Danio rerio: one gene and its partners. The protein of the gene in region 2 interacts with the protein of the main gene of each other region in a pairwise test. Links are inferred from orthologs where the notes say so. Each region holds a gene or a part of one and is shown on either strand. Other genes may lie near its edges.

The links.
Region 1: the proteins of sox5 (region 2) and kifc3 interact in binary tests that used the Homo sapiens proteins (3 or more experiments, as listed by UniProt). The two-hybrid records come from large-scale screens. The link is inferred for Danio rerio from reciprocal best matches to the Homo sapiens genes SOX5 and KIFC3.
Region 3: the proteins of sox5 (region 2) and lmo1 interact in binary tests that used the Homo sapiens proteins (3 or more experiments, as listed by UniProt). The two-hybrid records come from large-scale screens. The link is inferred for Danio rerio from reciprocal best matches to the Homo sapiens genes SOX5 and LMO1.
Region 4: the proteins of sox5 (region 2) and arid5a interact in a two-hybrid assay, tested with the Homo sapiens proteins (2 studies listed by BioGRID and IntAct). The two-hybrid records come from large-scale screens. The link is inferred for Danio rerio from reciprocal best matches to the Homo sapiens genes SOX5 and ARID5A.

What each region holds. Positions count from the first base shown.
Region 1 is NC_133193.1:48,553,171-48,557,795, reverse strand, and holds part of kifc3 (kinesin-like protein KIFC3), read right to left. Parts: coding exon 4,480-4,625; intron 2,785-4,479; coding exon 2,658-2,784; intron 2,503-2,657; coding exon 2,456-2,502; intron 1-2,455. UniProt on the Homo sapiens protein: Minus-end microtubule-dependent motor protein. Involved in apically targeted transport. Required for zonula adherens maintenance.
Region 2 is NC_133179.1:17,601,854-17,607,243, forward strand, and holds part of sox5 (transcription factor SOX-5), read right to left. Parts: intron 4,003-5,390; coding exon 3,830-4,002; intron 2,753-3,829; coding exon 2,684-2,752; intron 1-2,683.
Region 3 is NC_133182.1:28,179,128-28,185,104, forward strand, and holds the start of lmo1 (rhombotin-1), read right to left. Parts: upstream 3,615-5,977; 5' UTR 3,049-3,614; coding exon 3,027-3,048; exon of another isoform or gene 2,679-3,026; coding exon of another isoform or gene 2,645-2,678; intron 1-2,644. UniProt on the Homo sapiens protein: May be involved in gene regulation within neural lineage cells potentially by direct DNA binding or by binding to other transcription factors.
Region 4 is NC_133183.1:62,230,942-62,236,331, forward strand, and holds part of arid5a (AT-rich interactive domain-containing protein 5A), read left to right. Parts: intron 1-1,345; coding exon 1,346-1,443; intron 1,444-1,997; coding exon 1,998-2,151; intron 2,152-4,024; coding exon 4,025-5,224; 3' UTR 5,225-5,390. UniProt on the Homo sapiens protein: DNA-binding protein that may regulate transcription and act as a repressor by binding to AT-rich stretches in the promoter region of target genes.

The DNA of each region.
Region 1 (4,625 bases), on a different chromosome or scaffold from region 2:
ATCGAACCACTAAAATGACTAAAATCTCCACTGTGAAGAGTGAAAGCGCTTACTGAACAGCGCAGCATCGATGACGTAAGCATGCCCAGGCCCGAATGTAATGTGAGTGCGGGCCATCGGGGGAGACGGAAGATGGTCAAGCATGCTTTGGCCTGGTTCAAGGCAACGGTGCATATTGTGAGTACACCCTTAGTCATTGTTACTCGAAGCTCTGAGAAACATTTGCTCTGTTTGCAAAACCTACAGGAACTAGCTTATAGATACAAGTACACATAGACATTTTCATTAGATTCTTAAAAAATGTATTGATTATTATTATTATTATTATTATTATTATTAATAATGATATATTTTTTAAATCACTAATGTGTGAACAGCTTATGACGAAAAAAAATAACCATACCTTTAATTAAAGGGATGGTTTACCCAAAAATAAAAATCACTGCAGCAATTACTTTGTTCTGAGTTTTTTTTCCTTGTGTTGAGCACAAAGATATATTGAAAAAATCTGGTTGATGGCAAGCATTGAAATAAATGGTGCAACGCAGGGGTTCCTTAACTTTTCAGCCCGGGACCCCCAAAAATAACAATGCCAATGACTCACAACCCCCACTATTTTCGAAAGTGGTTATAATCATACAAACGTTGCACACAACACTCACACAAACCAATAGGCAGGGCCAGACGGAATCTGCGCACGTGTTTTGCTATTTCTGCAGAAAATTTTGGTAATTATCTGCGGATTTCTGCTGAATTATTTTGGGAGTATCCAGCGCAGTATCATAACTAAAACCTTAATATATGAAATAAAAAATAATAAATTACTGAGTAAAAACTGAATAACTTCAGATTTACACATTTACTCAAGTAAATAAACAGAATTAATGATGGGCTAAAAATCTGCTGAATTCTGCGCGTGCAGATTCCGTGTGGGCCTACCAATAGGCCTATATAAACACAAGCATATTGATAACACAAAAAAGTGTAACAGTCTAAACACCCAAATCATTTTTTATTATTATGTAACATTAACCTCTCCTAATGAGACTGGAGGGCACAATATTTAAGTTAAATCACGTCTTTTCTTTGTTTAAATTTGGAGACCGCTACTTAAAGATCATTCTCCATGTTAAGTCGTGGCCTGTATTTATTTTAAATGTACGTGAGTGTTGTAAAGGTGTCAGAAAGTTTAGCTAGTGCCGTAAAATCAATCTGGTGCTTGGGTGCCATCAACCAGCATTCTTCAAAATATCTTCTTTCGTGTTCAACACAAGAAACTCAAATATTTTTTTGGCTGAACTTTCCCATTATCATGTTGTCTATGCTTAAATCTTTAGAAGAAAGACTTCAAGTGTGTGCAGATGTTCTGTTTTTTTTTTTTGCTGGAGTAACTGAGGGTGGAGCTGTAAAGGCTCCGCCCTCTGCAAAAGTGGGTGGGTCCCAGCAACTTATTTGCATTTAAAGAGATTGGGAAGACCCGAGACGGGCATTACTGGCTGTAAAATAAAAGTCACAATAGGACCCCTTTAAAAGTTGTTCATTTAATGAAAATGCTGAATAATATTTAGCTTTTATTCTTCTGGCGTTGTGAGAAAGCAGCTCGTTAGGTTTTGCAACAGAGCTGCGGTAATTCGTGTTGAACATTTGTGACTCTAATAATTAAATCACCTCACAAAAACATGTTATATCAGCACCACAGCACAGCCCAGCCAATCAGAAGCAGAGCTCGAGGTGAAGACGTCAACCAAAATACAAACAGCTAAACTCTGTCACTTTCACTCTCACACACACACACGCACGCACGCATGCATGCACACACGCACGCGCGCGCACACACACACACGCACACAAGCACACACACACACACACACGCACGCACGCACGCACGCACGCACACACGCACACACGCACACACACACGCACGCACACACGCACACACACACACACACACACACACACACACACACACACACACACACACACACACTTAAAAAAGACATACAGTGAAAACAGTGCCCAACTGCAGAACACACACACAGGACAACATCAAGAAATAAACTACAGAAAGCTTGAACAAGACCAAAGAAAAAGACACACACGGACAAAACAGCAGCTGATCTCGCTTCACACACATCACACTATCAGACACACGCTTGCTCGCACACGCATGCTTGCACACACACTCACTTGCTCGCACACGCCTGCACACTCACTTGTACAAGCATACTCGCACACTTGCTCGCACGCACGCTCATATGTACACGCACACACACATGATCACTCACACACTTGCGCTCTCTCACACACACACTCACTCGCTCTACCGCTCTCACACACATACACTCACACACACTCAGTGTTAGGCTGTGTTAGATGGGTGGGCATCGACATGTGGGGCACCATGCCATGCTGAGCAGTTCATGCCAAGCGACCAACCACAGAAAACCCCACCTACCTGCCCACCGTCCCCAACCAATGGGCTGCCTCTGTCTACCTGTCTATCTGGAAACCAACCAATTACAGCGTCACAATGCGCAGAACAGAGAATCACAGGACGTGACCTGTACTCAATCAGTGTGTGAGACGTGTATCATTATCAGATCACTGCATCAGAGTTTGAGTAATTGTTAAATGTGTGTGAGAGTGTGTGTGTTCACCTGTGGACAGTTGGCTGTGTGAGCGGCGGCGGGTGGTGGGGGTTTTGGAGGTGGAGGACAGGGTTGATCCTGCACTGCTGGCCCGAGAGATGGGCAGAGGAACAGGGGTCACAGGAGGAGAGTCCAGCTGCAGACACCAAAAATACAAACAATAAAAAATACAATAAAAACATCACAAACTCCAGTGTTTCCCAACCCTGTTCCTGGAGGCACACCAACAGCACATGGATGTCTTGCTTATCTGACCCGCTAACTTCAGGTTTCGGAGGCTCTTCTACTGTTCGGATGAGTTGATTTAGGTGTGCTTGATTAGGAAGAGGTTGAAAATGTGTACTGTTGGTGTGGCTTTAGGAACAGGGTTGGGAAACACTGCCATACTCAATGGATTAAAGAAACTCAATGGATTAAAGAAATAGTTAAATATAGTCTTTGAGGTTCAGTGATTACAATTTTGAACATTTGGTGGCTATAGATGGAGCATCTTAAATCCTTTTTGATCCTACTTTAGACTGAACTGTTGCCCATCTTGCACTTTTAGTCTGTACCTTCCAGATGAGTCTTAGTGCTGATATAGCACAAGCATAACAACCCTTTCCTGAAGTGCCAATTCAATTTAATATACACTCACCGGCCACTTTAATAGGTACACTTGTCCAACTGCTTGTTAACGCAAATTTCTAATCTGCCAATCACATGGCAGCAACTCAATGCATTTAGGCATGTAGACATGATGAAGTCGATCTGCTGCAGTTCAAACCGAGCATCAGAATGGCTGTTGGTGCCAGACAAGCTGGTCTGAGAATTTCAGAAACTGCTGATCTACTGGGATTTTTACGCACAACCATCTCTAGGGTTTACAGAGAATGGTCTGAAAAACAGAAAATGTCCAGTGAGCGGCAGTTCTGTGGATGCAAATGCCTTATTGATTCTTGCCTTGTTGTTGGTTCTAGCTGATAGATAGGCAACAGTAACTTAAATAAGCACTCGTTACAACCGAGCTCTGCAGAAGAGCATCTCTGAACACACAACACATCCAACGCTGAGGCAGATGAGCTACAGCAGCAGAAGACCACACTGGGATATATCTCGATTTCTGCAACATTTAAATGGTAGGGTTAGAATTCAGCGTCAACAACATGACAGCATGGATCTATCCTGCCTTGTATCAACAGTTCAGGCTGGTGGTGGTGGTGTAATGGTGTGGAGGATATTGGCACATTTTGGGGTCATTAGTTGAGCATCGTGTCAACGCCACAGCCTACCTGGGTATTGTTGTTGGCCATGTCTATCCCTTTGTGACCACAGTTTACCCATCTTTTGATGGCTACTTAAAGCAGGATAACATGCCATGTCATAAAGTGTGAATCATCTCAGAACATGACAATGAGTTCACGGTACTCAAATGGCCTCAACAGTCACCAGATCTCAATCCAATAGAGCACCTTTGGGATGTGGTGGGAGATTCGCATCATGGATGTGCAGCCAACAAATCTGCAGCAACTGCATGATGCTATCATGTCAATATGGAATATGTAGGAATATTTCCAGTACCTTGTTGAATCTATGCCACTAAGAATTAAAGCAGTTCTTAAGGCAAAATGGGTCTAATAAAGTGGCCGGTGAGTGTAGATTTTCCTCTTCTTTCTTTTTTTTAGATTTTTCTTTCCTTTTTTTTTTAATTATCATTATTTATTTTACTTGATACACTATGCTGTCAACCTCAACTTTCAGTACTGACCTGTTTAGATGCTTAATTTGTATAAATAAATGCACATCATATATTGTTTGTTGTACAGATGTATATGCGAGCACTGCACGGTACCTCCACGCTGTCGTGTGTTGGTGAGGAGGAGGTGGAGGAGTTTTCTGCTTGTCGGCGTGAGGAGGAAGACGAGGGTCCGATTTCAACAGTGCGAACACGCTGAGCAAACTTCAGAGAGCACACAGACTCACTGATGTTACTCTCTA
Region 2 (5,390 bases):
AGTTCACACAACCAGTGCAGCCACTTCATGCAGGAAAAACACCAATTACATTCATTTAGGTGTAATGAGACAAATTAAACAATTACACACCCAATTGGGTTAGCCGCTCCTGTGCACAGGACCTGGTCTAACGCTTCTGTTGTCTTTTTTCTCCTCAACCTTCTTTTTAACTCTCATTCCGTGGGAAAATGGATTTACAATCTCAAGGAGGCACTGGCACTCGGCAAATGAGTATGATTGAGTTAGGAAGTGATCATGCAGTGTTTGACATGTATAGGCTACCGCAGTGGAAGTTCTTTATTTGGTTAGCTTTCCTGAAATGGAGGTTGACTCTAATACATGTTTTACAAGCAGTCACCGGTTTGTGTCGGCATCGTGTCTTAAACTAGTTAGAAAGCTTTAAAAAAAAAAGTGACAGCCGTGCTTGTTTTGTTTGGTGTGGCTTATGCCATTGTGCTAAATGGCCATAGTTATACATCAAATTAGCCCGCAAAAACATCTCCTCATGGGAGGTCTGGCTACCCGCGGTAACTGACACTTTGACAGCAGAGAATCCTCATCTCGGCCCCTGCGCTACGTATTGGAAATTTTCTAACACCAGCGCGAAGTCCCGCAGAGCCGGAGGAGGTGTGCTGAAAGGAGGCTGCTAATGAGAGAAAAGTGAAGGGGGAAAATGTTGGGAGTACGGCGAAGCTCAGAATGAGGTTGTACCAGTGGGCAGCTCACAGCCATTGCACCCACAGGTTTTTTTTCAACATTACACCTGTCGTTAAGCATGGAAATGCATTATATGTATTGCATTTCATGCCTCATGCTTCTGCGTGTGTGCCGCAAGCTTCTCGGCAGGTGTATTCTTTCATCCAAAGAAGCCTGTGTTTCTGGTTGGATAACAGTCAGGAGTCCTGTTAAGGCCCCGTGAGGGGTCCTGAGAGAAGACGCTTTAATAAGAAGCAAAGAGTGTGTAGATGTTACCCCCAAGAGCCTAAAGAAGTGGCCCCACACTGAGAGGTATATATGTGTTAACTGTGTGCATATTTCTGCAGAGAAGTAACTCTTCAAGGAGTTTTCAATGCGCCACAGGAGCAAAATTCCATTGAAACTCAAAAGTCAACATAAAACAGCACTCCATTTGACTTATTTAATGTGATGCGTATCTGTGTGAACCAATTTTGATGAGGGTAAGAGATGGCAAAAAGGTAATGTCATACAATAAATATATAAAAATAAGGCCGGGAACAATAGTTTAAATATTTTCTTTAAACATGGAATTTGGATATTGACCTTAGTAATGTGTTGTAAAACTCCAGAGTTCAGACATGAAGCAAGTGTTTGGTCAGAGTATGTTAGCGGTCTGTATGCTACACAATTTAAATGCGTGATTTAAGGAGGTGATTTTGGGCTAATACATGATTGGCCCATAACAAGGGTCTCCCCCTCTCTCCCCCCTCCACTGCCTCCGCGTTGACTGTGAGAAACTATTGTTCCACTGGGCTGAATGGAGAAGTGCTTGTTTGGGAAAAGGTTGCAAAGTCATGGGAAAAAGAAGCTTTGTTTCTCTGAGTGAAGAGTGGGGCTAGAAAAACCCAAGCGGACGTGTTTTGGGGACTGACGCACACACAGCTGCTTCTGACACATATACAGACATGAGCTGGTGAGGATTTTGAAATAGACACAGATAATTCTCGCATACACATGTTCAGACTAAGCTGTATAGTATGAACATGCACACACGAGCAACCACAGCTGCTACACACACACACACACACACACACAGCCAGGCACTAAAAAGAATGGCAGGGGTCCAGCGGACGGGACTGATCTGTGTATGCGTGTGTGAATAGTCTCAGTGTGATGTGGCTTCCTGGCCAAAACTGCCGGAGTCCCTCTCAAGGCTAAGTCTCATTTTATCAACCAAATTAGACTCATCTCATTTCCTTTTGCACACAAAGACTTTATTCGCTTCACACCTGCACACACAAAGCAGGCCAGTGTTTCTCTGCCCCATGTATAAGTCAGCTGGGACAAACCCATCAAAAAAGTGTCTGTGTTCAGTTTTCCACAAGCTCCCTTACCAGCCAGCAGGACTTTACCCATGTGTTCTTTTACGCAAACTATTCATTGAAATATAGCAAGTAGCTGTAGTGTTTTCTGTTTTCTTTCACAGACCTATCGTTTTATCATTATCATCAGAAGACACTGGTGTTCATTTAATTTTGCCTGTTGAATTTCAAAGTGACAGTAGCCATTGATTTACATTTTAAGAATCACCTTTATCCTGGATGCCCTGAGCTGCAGTAAACTCAGTCATTTTTCTAATCTTTAAATATCTTCCACTGAGCTGTCATAATGTGTTCAGGATTGTCTTGAAATTGGATGTACAGTAATTCAGAGGACAGCTTTGTGATTCTTTGTTTTGTGTAGTTATATTTTGATTGTTTCACAAAAAGGACTACAAGAATGGACACTAAATATAAGCTCCACTCTTACATTTGTGATTTGATGAGGGGGGTTGATTGCTGACTGGCAGACTGAAATGTTTGATTGTCATGAAACCCCACAGTCATGGTGACAAGACTCTCACATTGTGACATCTTATAAACATTTGCGTTCAAAAGCATAAGTGCAAACAAGTATACAGTCCTAATACTGGACATGCACATACTGTATATATATGAAGACTCACCTGGATCTGTTGCTGCAGGAGGTTGATTTTGTGTTGTTGCTGCAGAAGTTGCTGCTGTTGTCGTGCAATCTGTGGACAGAACATGTCAAACTGTCAAACATGTCAAACTCTTCTCCAATAATAGAGAACATTATTTGTGTAGATAGAGATTGGGATGAGTGAATTGTTGATGGTGCACTGTTTGAAACTCTTGGGTGTGTTTTTGTATTTTAGACATATTTGCTAAGGAGTGGCGCCTAGTCCTGGAGCGTTGTGCGCTTGTGCATGTTTATGTGTATGTGTACAGGGGTGTGTAAGTAAATGTGTTAATACAGATCTGTTTTCTTTTGTAAAACTAAGCTCCCCAGAAGCAACTATGCACACAACAAAGCCCAAGCACTCTCTTCTGTATGCAAACACCTTTAGTCTCCTGCTTGTGTGCTGGAGGGGACCTAAATGTTTCTCATACACTTACAAGCGGGATGGAGAGAACAGAAGGTTTCTTTATGAATTTGGTTCAAAGTGGAGAATCTTACAAACTGTACCTTTCATAAATATATGCAAACACACAGGTTTCCTAGACGTAATGATTTTTAGACTGTACAGATTGTTTGGTTTGTCATTCCCTTAAACATTCTACAGATTTACATTTTCATAATGATTAATTCTGGTTTATTTATGAGCCATTCTCTTCATGGGGACCAAAAGAGGAAAATTAAAATAATAATAATAATGTTTAAGGTCCCCGTAATGTTTTAAATACCAGCATTACATGCACAGACAACTTTGGTATGTGTTCTGTAATCTGACATACCACAGGGGTCAATTTTAAAAATGTCTGCTACTTTTAAGACAAGTTTCAGATCAATTTTCTTTCTGTTCTTTTAGCAGTAAAATGCATTGCTAAGTGGCATACTTACAGAACACGTACTTACATACCTATCAGAAAACAATTGTTGGTAATAATTTTTGACCATTGAGACTACATTACTCACCAAGCCTTGTGTTTTATTGCATTGTGCTTGGTTAATGCCTATATTGCATATTTACAATCAGCCTACATTGCCCTCTGGTCATTGTTATTTGGCTTCATTTGAAAAAGTTTGGATAAAACTGAATATAACTAGTGAGACATGCGCATGACGAACATTGTAAATATTTGCTGACCTGGTCCTGTTGCTGTTTTGCTAACTCCATTTGCTGGCGTTGTTTTTCAATCTGTGAAGCAGCCAGTTTCTTCTGCTCCTCGTGGGCAGCCAGTAACTGCTCTCGGAGACTGCTGAGCTGCGTGATCATCCCCATCAACTGCCGCTCTTTCTCCGCCAGACTGTCCGGGGTGCCTGCAAGGGTTAAAGGACACAGGCCACAGGTCAAAGAGCTAGTCCAGGAAGCATTGTGCCCAGATGTGCTCCTCCCGAGATGTGCTATCACCCTGATGTTTACCTAGCCTTCGCTACACATTTAGCATGAGCTGACCTCCGACCTCGAACTAAAGCTGAGAACGCTCTGACATACGAGCAGCCCCAGAGCAGACGGCAGGAGGGGAAGACTAAATCACTCAACAGGATGTAGTCGCACTGCGGTATTACCCCAGACTACCACCAATCAAAAATTGTGTGTGTGTTTGAGTGCACTAAACCCCTAAAGCGTTCAAATGTCCAAATGAGCACGTCTGTTAATGAGTTCATGTGTGTGCAATTGTGTGTCTGAGGTCATATATCTGTGCTAAAACACACACACACAGACACACGTCTGCAGGCCCCACAATCACCCATTGTTCTCGGTCTCTACCTTCTGAGGGGCCACATTCCACACCAGGGAAAAACAGATGATGAAGAAAGCTAGAGAAAGAAGGGAGTCATAGCAGCTGACCTGACCCTTTGCCCTGGCAGGAAGGTGAGAGTAGGCTCCATTTGTAACCCCTTCACAAACACACACACACAGACTCAACAATGCACAATAAAGGCAACTGTCACAGTTGGCCAGTTGGAAAAATAAACCTGCAGCTCCCTTTAACAGCTCCCAGACTGGGCTTTCACAAGAGGGTGTGCATGTGAGCCGGCCTGGGACAAGGGAAGGCCTTGTGTGAAAAGTGACGAGTCTTCCAGAGAAAGGAGGCATCAAAGCGATCTTTCTTTCCTGCTTTCTTTTTGAGACCCTGTTGCTCATACTAGGACTGGATCTGAATGGTTAAAATAGACATTTTTATAGCTATATTGAAGTATTTTAATTTATATATTTAATATATTTTTTAATTTCTTTTAACTTGATGCTTTGAAGGTGGTTCACTTAGATATTAACACCAAAAACATCATGCAAATAATTAGTCTTGTTAATTCTTGTTAGGGCTAACAGAAAAAAAAAAGATTTTCATTGTTGTCAACCTTAGATAGAACACATTAATAATAATTTAAAATCCTTACATTTATATAGCACTTTTCTGGACACTCAAAGAACTTTACACATTTTTTGAAGGGAATCTCCTCATCCATCACCAGTGTGCAGCATCCACCTGGATGACGCGATGGCAGCCAGATCGCACACCACTTGGCGATTGGCGAAGAGTGATATGGGGATGGTTAGGAGGCCATAATGGACAGTGGGAAAATTCTCTGATTCTCTTCTCGATCTCATCCGAAATACTGGGGCGTGAGGACCCACACAGACTGCAGGTTGAGCACCCCCTGCTGGTTTTACTAATGTCACTTCCGGCAGCAATCTAGCTTTT
Region 3 (5,977 bases), on a different chromosome or scaffold from region 2:
ATTGAACTGTAATTGCATCAGGAGGAATGTTTATAAAGTAGGAATTTCTTCAGGCTGAAGCAATATAAGTGGCAGGAACACAAGCATTAGGCCCCGAATCCAGGCGCAATATTGCAAGAGACCCAGGGCGAGAGAAACATTGATGTAATTTCAATATTTGAAATTGGCAAGTTTAATTTAGAGTAAGAACAAGCCAATAAGCTGAGAAAATAGCAAATACAAGAGAGAAAATTACCTTGCAGGATGAAAAAAGTGAAAAGACTTAAGGAATGTATAAAAGTAATCTCCAAGTGGAAATTAGAAATCAACCCACAGAAAGGGGAATAACGGAAAAGAAATATTACTGTCCACTCTCTAAATCAATATAAAATTGCTACAAGACAGAATTACCATGGTAACTCGAGTAAAGAATGAAGCAATTCTTATTATTTCAAAATAAAAACCGGTGCCTGAAGCCCTGAGTTTTATTACAGCAGCAGACAGATCAGGGGTCTAGTATTCATTTGAAACATTGCATTTCAAGTACATGCGCTAGTAACCAACGGATTTCATTGGTCAGTCGGCATGCAGGGCTCGTAAATTAAACGGTAACCAAGAATTTATCATCAGAATGAAGAATGGAAGGTGTTCTTTTCTCTTTTTCAGGTTTTTACAGAGTCCAGCGATGCGAATGATCAATCCTGAACAAGTCCACAATGAGGACCCAATTATTCCATCCAATCCAGATAGTTTTAAATACCTTGAAGGGAAAGAAAATGGCTGAATAGCGTATTTCTCCAGAGAGAATTAAAAGTCAACCGAGAGCTTCTTTTATTTAAAGGTAGTCATGAAAAGGAGTTGTGCTTGTTCTGTACCTTAACACATTTCCCCAAACCATGCGAAGAAAGTACTAAATGGTATTGTGCTATTGCCTGAAAGCAGTACAGCTTTTTTTTTGCCAGGATCAAATACAGTGCAAGGACAACTGATGACAAAGGCAGCAAAGCTGAAATGTGAAAGGGCTGATAATTTGGGAAGGCAGTGTAATAGTAGTACAATAGCGAGAGTGTGCACAAGCCCCGCATCGCTCTACTTTCAATCTCCTGTGCTTAGTACATCATTACATAGTATACAGCGATTTGAATGACCTCATATTTCACATAGGAAACTGTACATATTTTAAGACTTCCTAATAGAGCCTCCCAACAGCTTAGGGTGAATTTGTGGATGGAAAACTAAAGCAAAACTGCTTCGTATCACACTTTTTGGAGGATGTTGAGGAAAAGGTAACTAGATAAGTCTTCTGTTGCAGGATGCAGTTATTTCAAAGACTCGCATTGACAGCCTTTAAAAGTTCAGTTATTGAAAACCAAACACATACATATCTTCTGTAGTTTACAAAATCATTATAAATACAACATTATGACTTATTTTTTGTATTAAATCTGCAGAATCACAGTGTAAGTTAATACGTACTGAGGACCTGTTCATGTTCACAGACAACATGAAAGTCGTGCTTATGGTTATTCTTTCACAAGGGTTTCACAATTCATTGAATTCCTCCCTCACTTTTAATATAGTACAAGATGTACTGAACTGAGAATACTGTACCTCTGATATATTTAGAGCACAGCCTTATATTAGGATCAGACTTATCTGTTCAGTTCCTGTGTTAGTTAAAAGTGTGTGTGCATCTGTGTTGGTATATGCGTGTATGAGAGAGAGGGAGAGAGAAAGAGAGAGAGAGAAAGCAGATCCAAGCTGCTTCCCCATCCCTGCCAAAATGCCAGCGCAGTTGGTCGGCACCAGCACGCAAAGGGTGAAGCTTTTAGGCAATGAGCAGCAGGTGATCTAAGCTTTTCTGTAAGTCCTAATGCTCCTAAAAGCCACTCTCCCTGCTTCTGTAATTGGGCATCAGTAGTTAATGTAGTATTGACTGCATTACATGCTCCTGTGCATCCTCTCCTACTAATGCCATTTGCATCACCTTGTACATTTACCATATTGCTTAGCCAATAGCTGTTAAAAGCAATCTGAATCATGAATCATATGGGGAACTTTTAGCAAGACAGACATCCAAAGGAGACAATTTACAGTTGAGTTAATCTGGGTACATTAGCGCAACATGGATTGAGCGAGACAGACCAATTTATGTTTCTACGGCAATCTCTTTATTGGTTTTTAGATGGGTTAGTGAAAGGATGGTTGGCTCAAAGAGATATGAAATATCCATTTTCAAACATAAATATGGGTCTGAAATGCAAGCCGTTAGTTTGGGGGGGAAAGGGCCCCTGGCTAAAACTAAAGGTGTGTGTGATGACAGTATTCCCAGAAACATGACAAGAAAGGCATTTTAGGTCAAAGACGCTTTAAAGGGATTATTTCCCATTTCAACACAGTTTAAAAACGTATTAGAATACAAAAAAAAAAAAAAAACGGGATTCAGCTTCACCACAAACTTGTCAGCACCACAACCTCCAAAAGAAAAGTTTATAAACGGTTTCCATAGGAACCAGCCAGCAGCGTAAATACAGAGAAGTGCATTGCTCATATGGCTATAAAACGCTGACATGTTTACAAACGCAATACACTGCTATCCAATTGGTGATGTATAAATGTTGTCGTTTACATCTTTCAGTAAAGGTTAAGGTTCAAATGCTCTCACCTGTGAGCGAAGACACCCGCTGTTGATAAAACATCTCCGTAACTTCACAGATTTGCACGAGCTCTAACTAACACTGCGGTGAATGCGGACGCTACGTCTTTCTAACAGATTATCAATATTCATATACAAATGGACAGTGAGAGAAGTACACCGTATTCGGCATGTCTCTCCCGACTCAAAGTGTTTCAGAGTCGCGTTCGCGCTCTCTCCCTCATGTAAACCTGGCGAACGTACGTGTCCGTTTGATATGACAAACGAACTGGAGCATGAAAGTGCCGTTCAGAGGGAAAATGGACGCTAAATGCTGCGTTTCCTTACTGTCCCGCGTTCTTCATAGTCATGCGGAGCAAATGAATGCACTAACAATCATCCGTGCACTTACCCTCTTCCTTGTCTAACACCATCGTCCTGAGGAGCGAGGAGTCCGGCTCCAGGCGATCCGCTCTCGGCTCCAGCACACTTCTGCGCGCGCCGCTCGCGTCTCTGAGAAGAAATTGCTTTGCAACAACAAAATAATAATCGTCCGCGTTGCTGCCACAAGCTTTAACTATACAGGCTCGTCTGTGTTGGTTTTCCGCTGTTCAGAGACAGAATGCCATGTAGAGAAGCATATGCGTCGGTTATTCTATTGTTTAATGTATTTCGGAGATTACATGCAGCGATGTCCCCCTAGTCGCGTTCGCGTGCGCAGCGCGTCAGTATAATATCCACGCTTGCAATTAACGATGTCTAAAACTAAAGTGAGACGCCACGGTGCATTCCATTCGAAAATGAAACGACTGCACTAACTCAAATCTAATTTAAACTCCCGTTTAAATTGAGCTGCCGCGAAGAAGCTATTCTCGGAGTAGAAACGTGTTCCTCCCAGTTCTCATTTGCTCCGAAACTGTAACTATATTCAAGAAATCCAATTCTGAGGCTGACAACTCCTAACAGCATGCTCACGCTGCCTCTCTCACCCAATTTATGCGCTCCGCGCGCTCCTGCTACTGAATAAATGCGCGCGCTTCCCAGAGAGCCACGGATTCCCCTGTTAATTAAATCAATTCATTATGCTCAGATCTGATTAGCAGCCCTTCCCCCCTCTTTGAATCAATTATTCAATACACAAACATAATTGCTTGTGCCAGAGGTGTCTAAGTATTAGCTTATTTAACTCCAAGGACACTAATTACCCCTAGGGCAAGGGAACTTTTCTCATTAATTCTGACAAAACACAAAAGCACAGCTAAGGGAAAGTGTGTGTGTGTCTAACAGAGTGTGTGTGAGTGTTTTTGTGAAGTGCTCACAGGGGATGTGTGTGTGTACGTGTGTTCTTGTGTGATTGTGATGTGTGTTATAAATAGAGAAAAGAGGGTTTGAGCTTTTAAAAAGCGTTTTAAGCAGTTCTCATGATCTAATTTCTTCTCGTTCTTCGCTCTTGTCATTATAATAATACTCCTAGATATGTATGATAGGCTAGACGACTCACTTTCCATATTCAGATAAACAGTCATTTTGAGAGCCACAACACAACAGATGGGCTGTGTTTTGATTAGTGGTGAGATAGGAGAGCACGTTTGGCTCTGGTAATATAATTGTTAGCTGTTACTTTGCTGATACAAGTATTGCTGTTTCATGGTGGGCAATTGATGGGCTTTCACCTGCCCTGCGGAGACTCTTATCCAATCAAGGCAGAGATCCACCCCAGATTAACCATTAGCAGAGATGCAGAGGTTACAAGTGCTCTGTTTGTCCATAAGTGATCTGGCATACTAGTTTTTCATTTGCTTTTATTGTACATCACTGTCAAGGTAGAGATGAAAATGTGCCTTGTTTCATGTCTCTGAGATCTGGAACTCCTCGAAGCAGGTGATGAATAGACATAAATTATGAAACTGTAATTCATATCTGCTCATAAGACATTAGGGTGCAAATCTGCCATGCCCCTAGACATTCATTTGTAGTTTAATTTGAACTATAGACTGTAGTAACCTTAGCAGATTGGGATATTGCCCTGCCCCTAAAATCCATTGTTGGAGCCTTTGCTCTCTTCTTCTCTTGCTTGACATGTCTGACTTTTCATTTCAGCAGTGTGATAGATGGATGACTTTTGACCACAAATGTATGTCTGCTGACCTCTTGTGAAGTGAATGACACCCAATTAATCCAATCACAACAAACTGAGGGAACAAGGAAAGCGTGGCCCATTGTAGTTGAATGCTGGACTGCACAAGGCCCCCTGACAGTTAAATGGAGAAACAATAACAAATAATAAGAGAAGCCACATGCTGTTAGAACACTACTTACAAAAAATAAAAAAATAAAAAAAAAATCTTGATATTTAATGATATCCTTGTAACACAGGGTTTTTTGTATTTACTATAATAATAACAGTAAATAAATGCCTAAAAAATCTTAGTTGCCTTAAATTTTTAATCTGAATTAAGATTAACTTTATGAGTCCATTTAACTTATATTATGTAAAACAGACTTAAAACTGCTTGCATAACTTATAAAATTAAGTTCGAACATAATTAAGTTAGTTTAATAAGTTACAACAAACTAAAAACATATGCTGTCATGACTAATTGTTCAAATAATTTTACAGTGTAGTTACTTGTACCTAATTCTGAAACTCTCAAGTGAGTAAATGAATATTTACTCAGTATTTACTCACCCTTAGGTGTTATAGACCTTTTTGAGTTTCTTTTTTATCTTGAACACAAAATAAGATATTTTGAAGAAAGCTGCAAACCTGTATTGGCATCAATAATAGGAAAAACAAATACAGTACTATGGAGATCAGTGTTTCCAGCTTTCTTCAAAATATCTTCATTTGTGTTCAATGGAAGAAGGAAACTCAAAAAGATTTGAAACAAGTGAAGGGTGAGTAAATGATGACATAATTTTCATTTTTGGGTATCCCTTCCCAGCAGGCACACAACATCATAAGGTATTACTATTACAGTAGGTTAGATTTAGGTCATGACGTCAGATTATTTTGACATCCAATAATAATTAGGTTGATTTTAGGTTGTGTTGGAAAGTGACCAAAATCCAATGTCTGATAGATGTTATAGTGGCAATGTCCACACAACGTTAAGGTGTAGCATAATTAGATGTTGACATTTGGTCGATTTTTAGGTTGGACGTTGGACATTGACGTTGGCCTGACATTGGGTTTTGACGTCAACCCGATTTTCATTTCCAAACAAAATCCAACGTCATTTATATTACTCAGTACTGTACAGATACACTGTAATAAAGGAGCTGTAAAGTAATGTGTACCATAATTGACACATTTAAACTCTGAAGTGGTTTATTACATTATTTACACAATATCCCTATCAA
Region 4 (5,390 bases), on a different chromosome or scaffold from region 2:
ACGGTTTGTCTCAATTTGTGAGCTAACTGACATCAACAGTTGTTTGCTCCCCTTCTCCCCTGTTGGCCACGCCCACTCCTGCCCTATGCCCGTGGAGCTCCACGCCCATTAATCAAGCATCTTTTGAAAAAATTCTGAAGTAGACTTTAAATGAAAGTGGGGGGTGTCATGGCCCTTTAAAATGTCCTCAATGTTTACCATTGCCACGCTAATAATGACTCTAAACTTGAACACAAGATATTTTGAAGAATATAGTGCCGTTGACGTTCATAGTAGGACCAAAAACTACTATGGATGTCAATTATTCAGTATATCTTCCTTTTCTTTCTTGGTAAGGAACTCAAACTAGTTTATAAAAACACAAGTGGAGTGATATTATTATATTAATCTGGGGTGTTTAGGTCTGACATCATTAAGTGCAGAAGTTTGTGATCTATGAACGTCACATCTAGCAGACAGGCGAATGAATCTGTTTTTGTGCACACGTTTTCTCTGAAGCACACTGATACATAAGGAATCATTTGAAGAAAAGGTAGTGATGCGGCTGCTACAGCTTGAGTGTGCATTATTTTTTAATTAATCAACAATTCAAGTGAATTACTCTGCTTAATCTCGGGTTCCCACAGCTAAAGCTACTGTTCAGATGTTGTATTTCAGACATTTGTCAGGCTTTTGTCCTCAATCTGCTCCTGTGTGTTGCATTGGTTTCTTCCACATCTCCTCCAAAGCCTTGAGTTGTGTTTTGATGTGATTTTTGACTGTTGTAGCTGTGAAATAACTCATTTAGCATAGTGATACAGAGCTGTAACACACTCAAAACTTGCCGGAACTACTTTAGCTGTGCATTCATCTGAAACAGTACAGCTTAGAATGCTCATCAGCCAATCAGAATCAAGCATTCAACAGCTGTAGTGTAAGCACATTACAGTAATGGCGGAGTGGTACGGTACTGTACGGTTCGGTTTGGTATGCTTTTATGGCCGTTTCCACTATTAAAAGGCGTACCGAACCAAACCGTACCGTACCACTTATTCAGCACCCTTTCGAAAGGGTCCCAAACACAAGAAAGGGTACCAAAAGGCGGAGCTAGACGTGCAGCTGAACGCTATAGGTTTACAGAGATATGTCATTCGCTTAGGCAACAAGCTAGAATGTAAACAAAGGACCCGCCATGTTTGAAATACACAGCGAGAGATTACTTGCGCTCGCCGCGCGTCTATATCTGAAATAACAAACCTCTTGAGCTGATGATAATAACTTGCGCTTGCTAATTGACATGCTTTTGGAAACCCGACTGCTGCAGTTTTCCATTGGGGGTCTATAATTACATGGTGTTCGCTCACAGGTAACAGCGAGGAGGCAGTGGAAGAACGTGTATGACGAGTTGGGTGGTAGTCCAGGCAGTACAAGCGCAGCCACCTGCACACGCAGACACTATGAAAGGTAAACAAATCACCAAAACAACAAACATTAAGATTTCATGTGGACTTTAATAACATGTAGTAACAATGTGGGCCGTTTTCATGCTGTCACTTTTCTGGAGGTGGACTGCAGCATTGCAGAGCTCATTCAGCAGATCCTCTAGTTTTTCACGATTATGTTTTTTTTGTGAATTTTTTTTTTTGTGATAAATGTGACTGATTTTGTGGTGGTAATTGGCAGAAATTTGCAGACAATTTTGTTATTAAACACACACATATATATATATATATATATATATATATATATATAGATAGATAGATAGATAGATAGATAGATAGATAGATAGATAGATAGATAGATAGATAGATAGATAGATAGATAGATAATATATTTACTATATTAGGTGGCCTACAATGTTTCAAATCATAAAAATAAAGCTTCTTTATTTTGGTCCAGGGAAAGAGTTAAATGAAAACATTTATTGATTTCAAGAACATTATATTACACACATTTCAGAGCCTCTGCATCGCCTGGGTTGTTTCGTCTCCAACTTTAAAACTCATTTGTGTTTGCAGGTTGGTTTTGCCCTTTGAGCGGCAGCTGAGAGGAGAAGAGGACAAACCACTGCCACCGTCCAAACCTCGCAAACAGTACAAGAGGAGCCCTGAGAACCGGGGGAGCAAACCAGAGAGCAAGAAGAAGAGGAAGATGGAGAGAGACGAGAGCGAGGTCAGAGGACAATAACGAAACTCACTTTAAGCTGAATACTAGTATCTTGAAGAATATCTAGTCAAGTATTATGTGCTGTCAACATAGCAAAGAGAAAAGAAATCTTATTAATCTTAATAGAATCTTAATCTTATAGAAAGTTATTAGAAATGAGTTATTAAAACTGTTTACAAATGACTTCTTTACATTAAAAAGCACTTGGGAAATATTTCAGGGGAAAAATTCACATTTAAAATTGTCAACTGTACATCAAAATATCAGAATTGGGTGAAAGAAATTGGTTATTGGGATTAAATATTGGGAAACACTTCATTTTGATGGTTCATTTGAGTATCAGTAGACTGTCTGCTTAATATCTGTTGATACTGCTGCTAATCAGACATTTAACTGACTATAAGAAACTTTGCAAGTACATGTTCAACTTACACTAACTCTAACCCTAACAGTCTACTTATAATCTGATGAGAGTTAGTTGGCATGTAGATGCAGTGTAACTTAAATTCAACAAACGGACCATCAAAATAAAGTGTGACCAAGTATTGCGATATGTGTATATATTGAATTATTCTCCAGCCCTATGCTATAATGCTCTGATGTTCAAGTCTTAAGACTAAGGGATCTAAAATAAAATGGCAGTCTTTTGGAAACAATATGACCAAAAAGCCAGCAAGATCATCTCAAATATGTCTGTCACACAGTCCACAAAACGAGGTGTTTCATGTGCCTAAAAGTCAATGGACGTGAATGAAGCTCTGCCAGGAAGTTTCTAGTATCTGAGAGCTTATTTAGCTGGTTTAAGTATGTTTGATTAGAGTTGAAGCTAACCTCTTTAAGACACCGGCCCTCCTGGACTGAGTTTGGACATCTCTATGGTATGGTAACCTAAATATTCCAGGATTGTTAATGGGTGAAGTAAAATCATTGGTAAAACACAAAGTAACTTGATCTCTACCAATGTAAAGTCAAACAAAAGGCTTTAAAATAGCAGCCCTGTCATAGAGTCATATTAAAAATCTAAATACTCTCCACAGAATTTTGCACACCATATCAAATTTAGTCTTGTTCACTCAGTAATGATTTAACCTCCTAATTAAAATGACCTTTCTTGGGCTTTCTTACAAATGCTTTCGGTATTCTCTGAAAAGTCCCGTGAAGTGCTTTGAAATGTGCATTTTTATTCGATGTTTGACGCATCTTAACTTAAACATGAAGAGAGGGCGGGGCATAGAGTAGCCCCTCCCCTTTAAAAAAAACGGCCAATAGCGTTTTGTTTTTATCACAGCTCTACCAGTCAGAGTGGTTGATGTAAATGTCAAGCATCTGAAAGGGGCGGGGCATGTCAGATACTAAAGACCATTTGATTGGTCAGAAGATTTGATGAGAAACTAAAGTATGAGTTGACATTAATAAAATCGTTGACCCATTTAGGTGGAAGAGACAACCTACAAACTTTACATGTTTCTATTACTTTAATATCTCCTAAACACGGATTTTGTCACTGTTTTGATGCGTACTAGCTTAATGATCTCCTAAAAACAAAGAATACTGATACAAACATTTAAAAACTAGTGGACACATTGGACCTTTAAGATTGGAATCCATATATAATCCCCTAAACCAGGGATGGGCAAACTTGATCCTCGAGGGCCGCTGTCCCTGCACAGTTTTGTTCCAACACTAGTCAAACACACCTGAACAAACTAATCAGTGTCTTCAAGATCACTTGAACTCTATAGGGAGGTCTGTTTGAATAGGGTTGGAGCTAAACTATGCAGGACACTGGCCCTCCAGGATCAAGTTCGCCCACACCTGCCCTAAACACTACCGTTCTTACACTACTGTAAGTTCTAAAGTATCCCACTTTTCTTTTCAGGAGAAAATGTTGTCTGATCACCACTGTGACAGAGGCAGGTGTTCTCATCACAGTCCATGGCTGATATCCTCTGATCGCCTTGACTCCGAGCACACATCCACAGCTCCAGTCCTTGGCATGAGCTCCAGGGAGAACCCGCTTCTCCAGACTTCCAGCCCGCCCGAAGTCATCTCCCCCCTGGAGAAGAAGAAGCGTCTGGCTCAGGCTAGCCTCACTATCCCTGCCTCAGAGGACGGTGGAGAACTTGAGCGACCCTCCGTTATCCACATATCCCACTCTTCCCAGTCTAACACTCGCGGTCGCCACTCCTCCGATGGCTCTCCTGTCCCAGTCTCCTCTCCTTCTGGATCCCTGTCTCGAAGCCCCTCTCCATACTCCGTCTCCTCCGAGGACTGCATAGCCGTCACGACTCAAAAGTCTCCAGCTAAAGAGCCTGAAAACAAAACAGCGACTCGTTTGCCAGCTCTGTCCACATCCAAAGCTGTCAGCACCGGAGTTTGCAAACCACTCAGCTGTTACCCCAACACCAAAGAACTCGCCAACTATCCCCGCTTACATTATCGAGAGTTCCTGCAAGCTGGTGCAACAGAAAAGACCCAGAGGAGTCTTTTAGCATGGACCTCTGATGATAAATCCAGACTTGCATCCCATAGGCTGCCCTTGCCAGCCTACACCAAACCCTACTGGGTCCCTCATGCCTCCAGCTTCTCCAAGGTCTTGCCCCGGGATCCCTGCAGGCCCATGTCATCACTACAGCCCTCTTTTAAACCGCACATGTCCTCCTACCACCAGCACCTCCTAAAGAGACCTGATGAAGCCTACTTGAAGAAGATGCCAGTATCTTCTCCGATTCGCATTACGGACAGGAAGGAGAAGGCAAAGACGGCGTTGCCCAAACCTCTGCCTACCCAGCAGTACCTCTTCCACCCGCATGGCGGACTCACTGTGCCCTACCAGCCAGCTTTAGAAAGACTTCGAGGAGACCTGACGGTTGAACAATTAAAAGCTCTACCTCTGCAGCCCGTGCTTTTTCCAACACATCTGTCAATTCCTCCTGCTCAGAGCCACTCTATGCATTGCCCGCCAGTGGGAACCCACTTTCCTGGGTCTTACGAAGCTGCTTTGCCTTCGTACAATTACCCGATGCCAATCTGGCATGCGCCTGCTGGATATAACATGCCAAGCCTGCAGCCGTACTGAACTATTCGCAGACCTTAGAGACTTACTTTTGGGCCGTGCTTGTATGCAACTCCTCACACATACCACTTGAAACTAAAATAATCATTAATACAGTTAGAAAAGGTTTAAGCGAATTACAGTGAGCTGTTTACATGAACCTCGTGAAATAAAAGCCAACTTACATAAC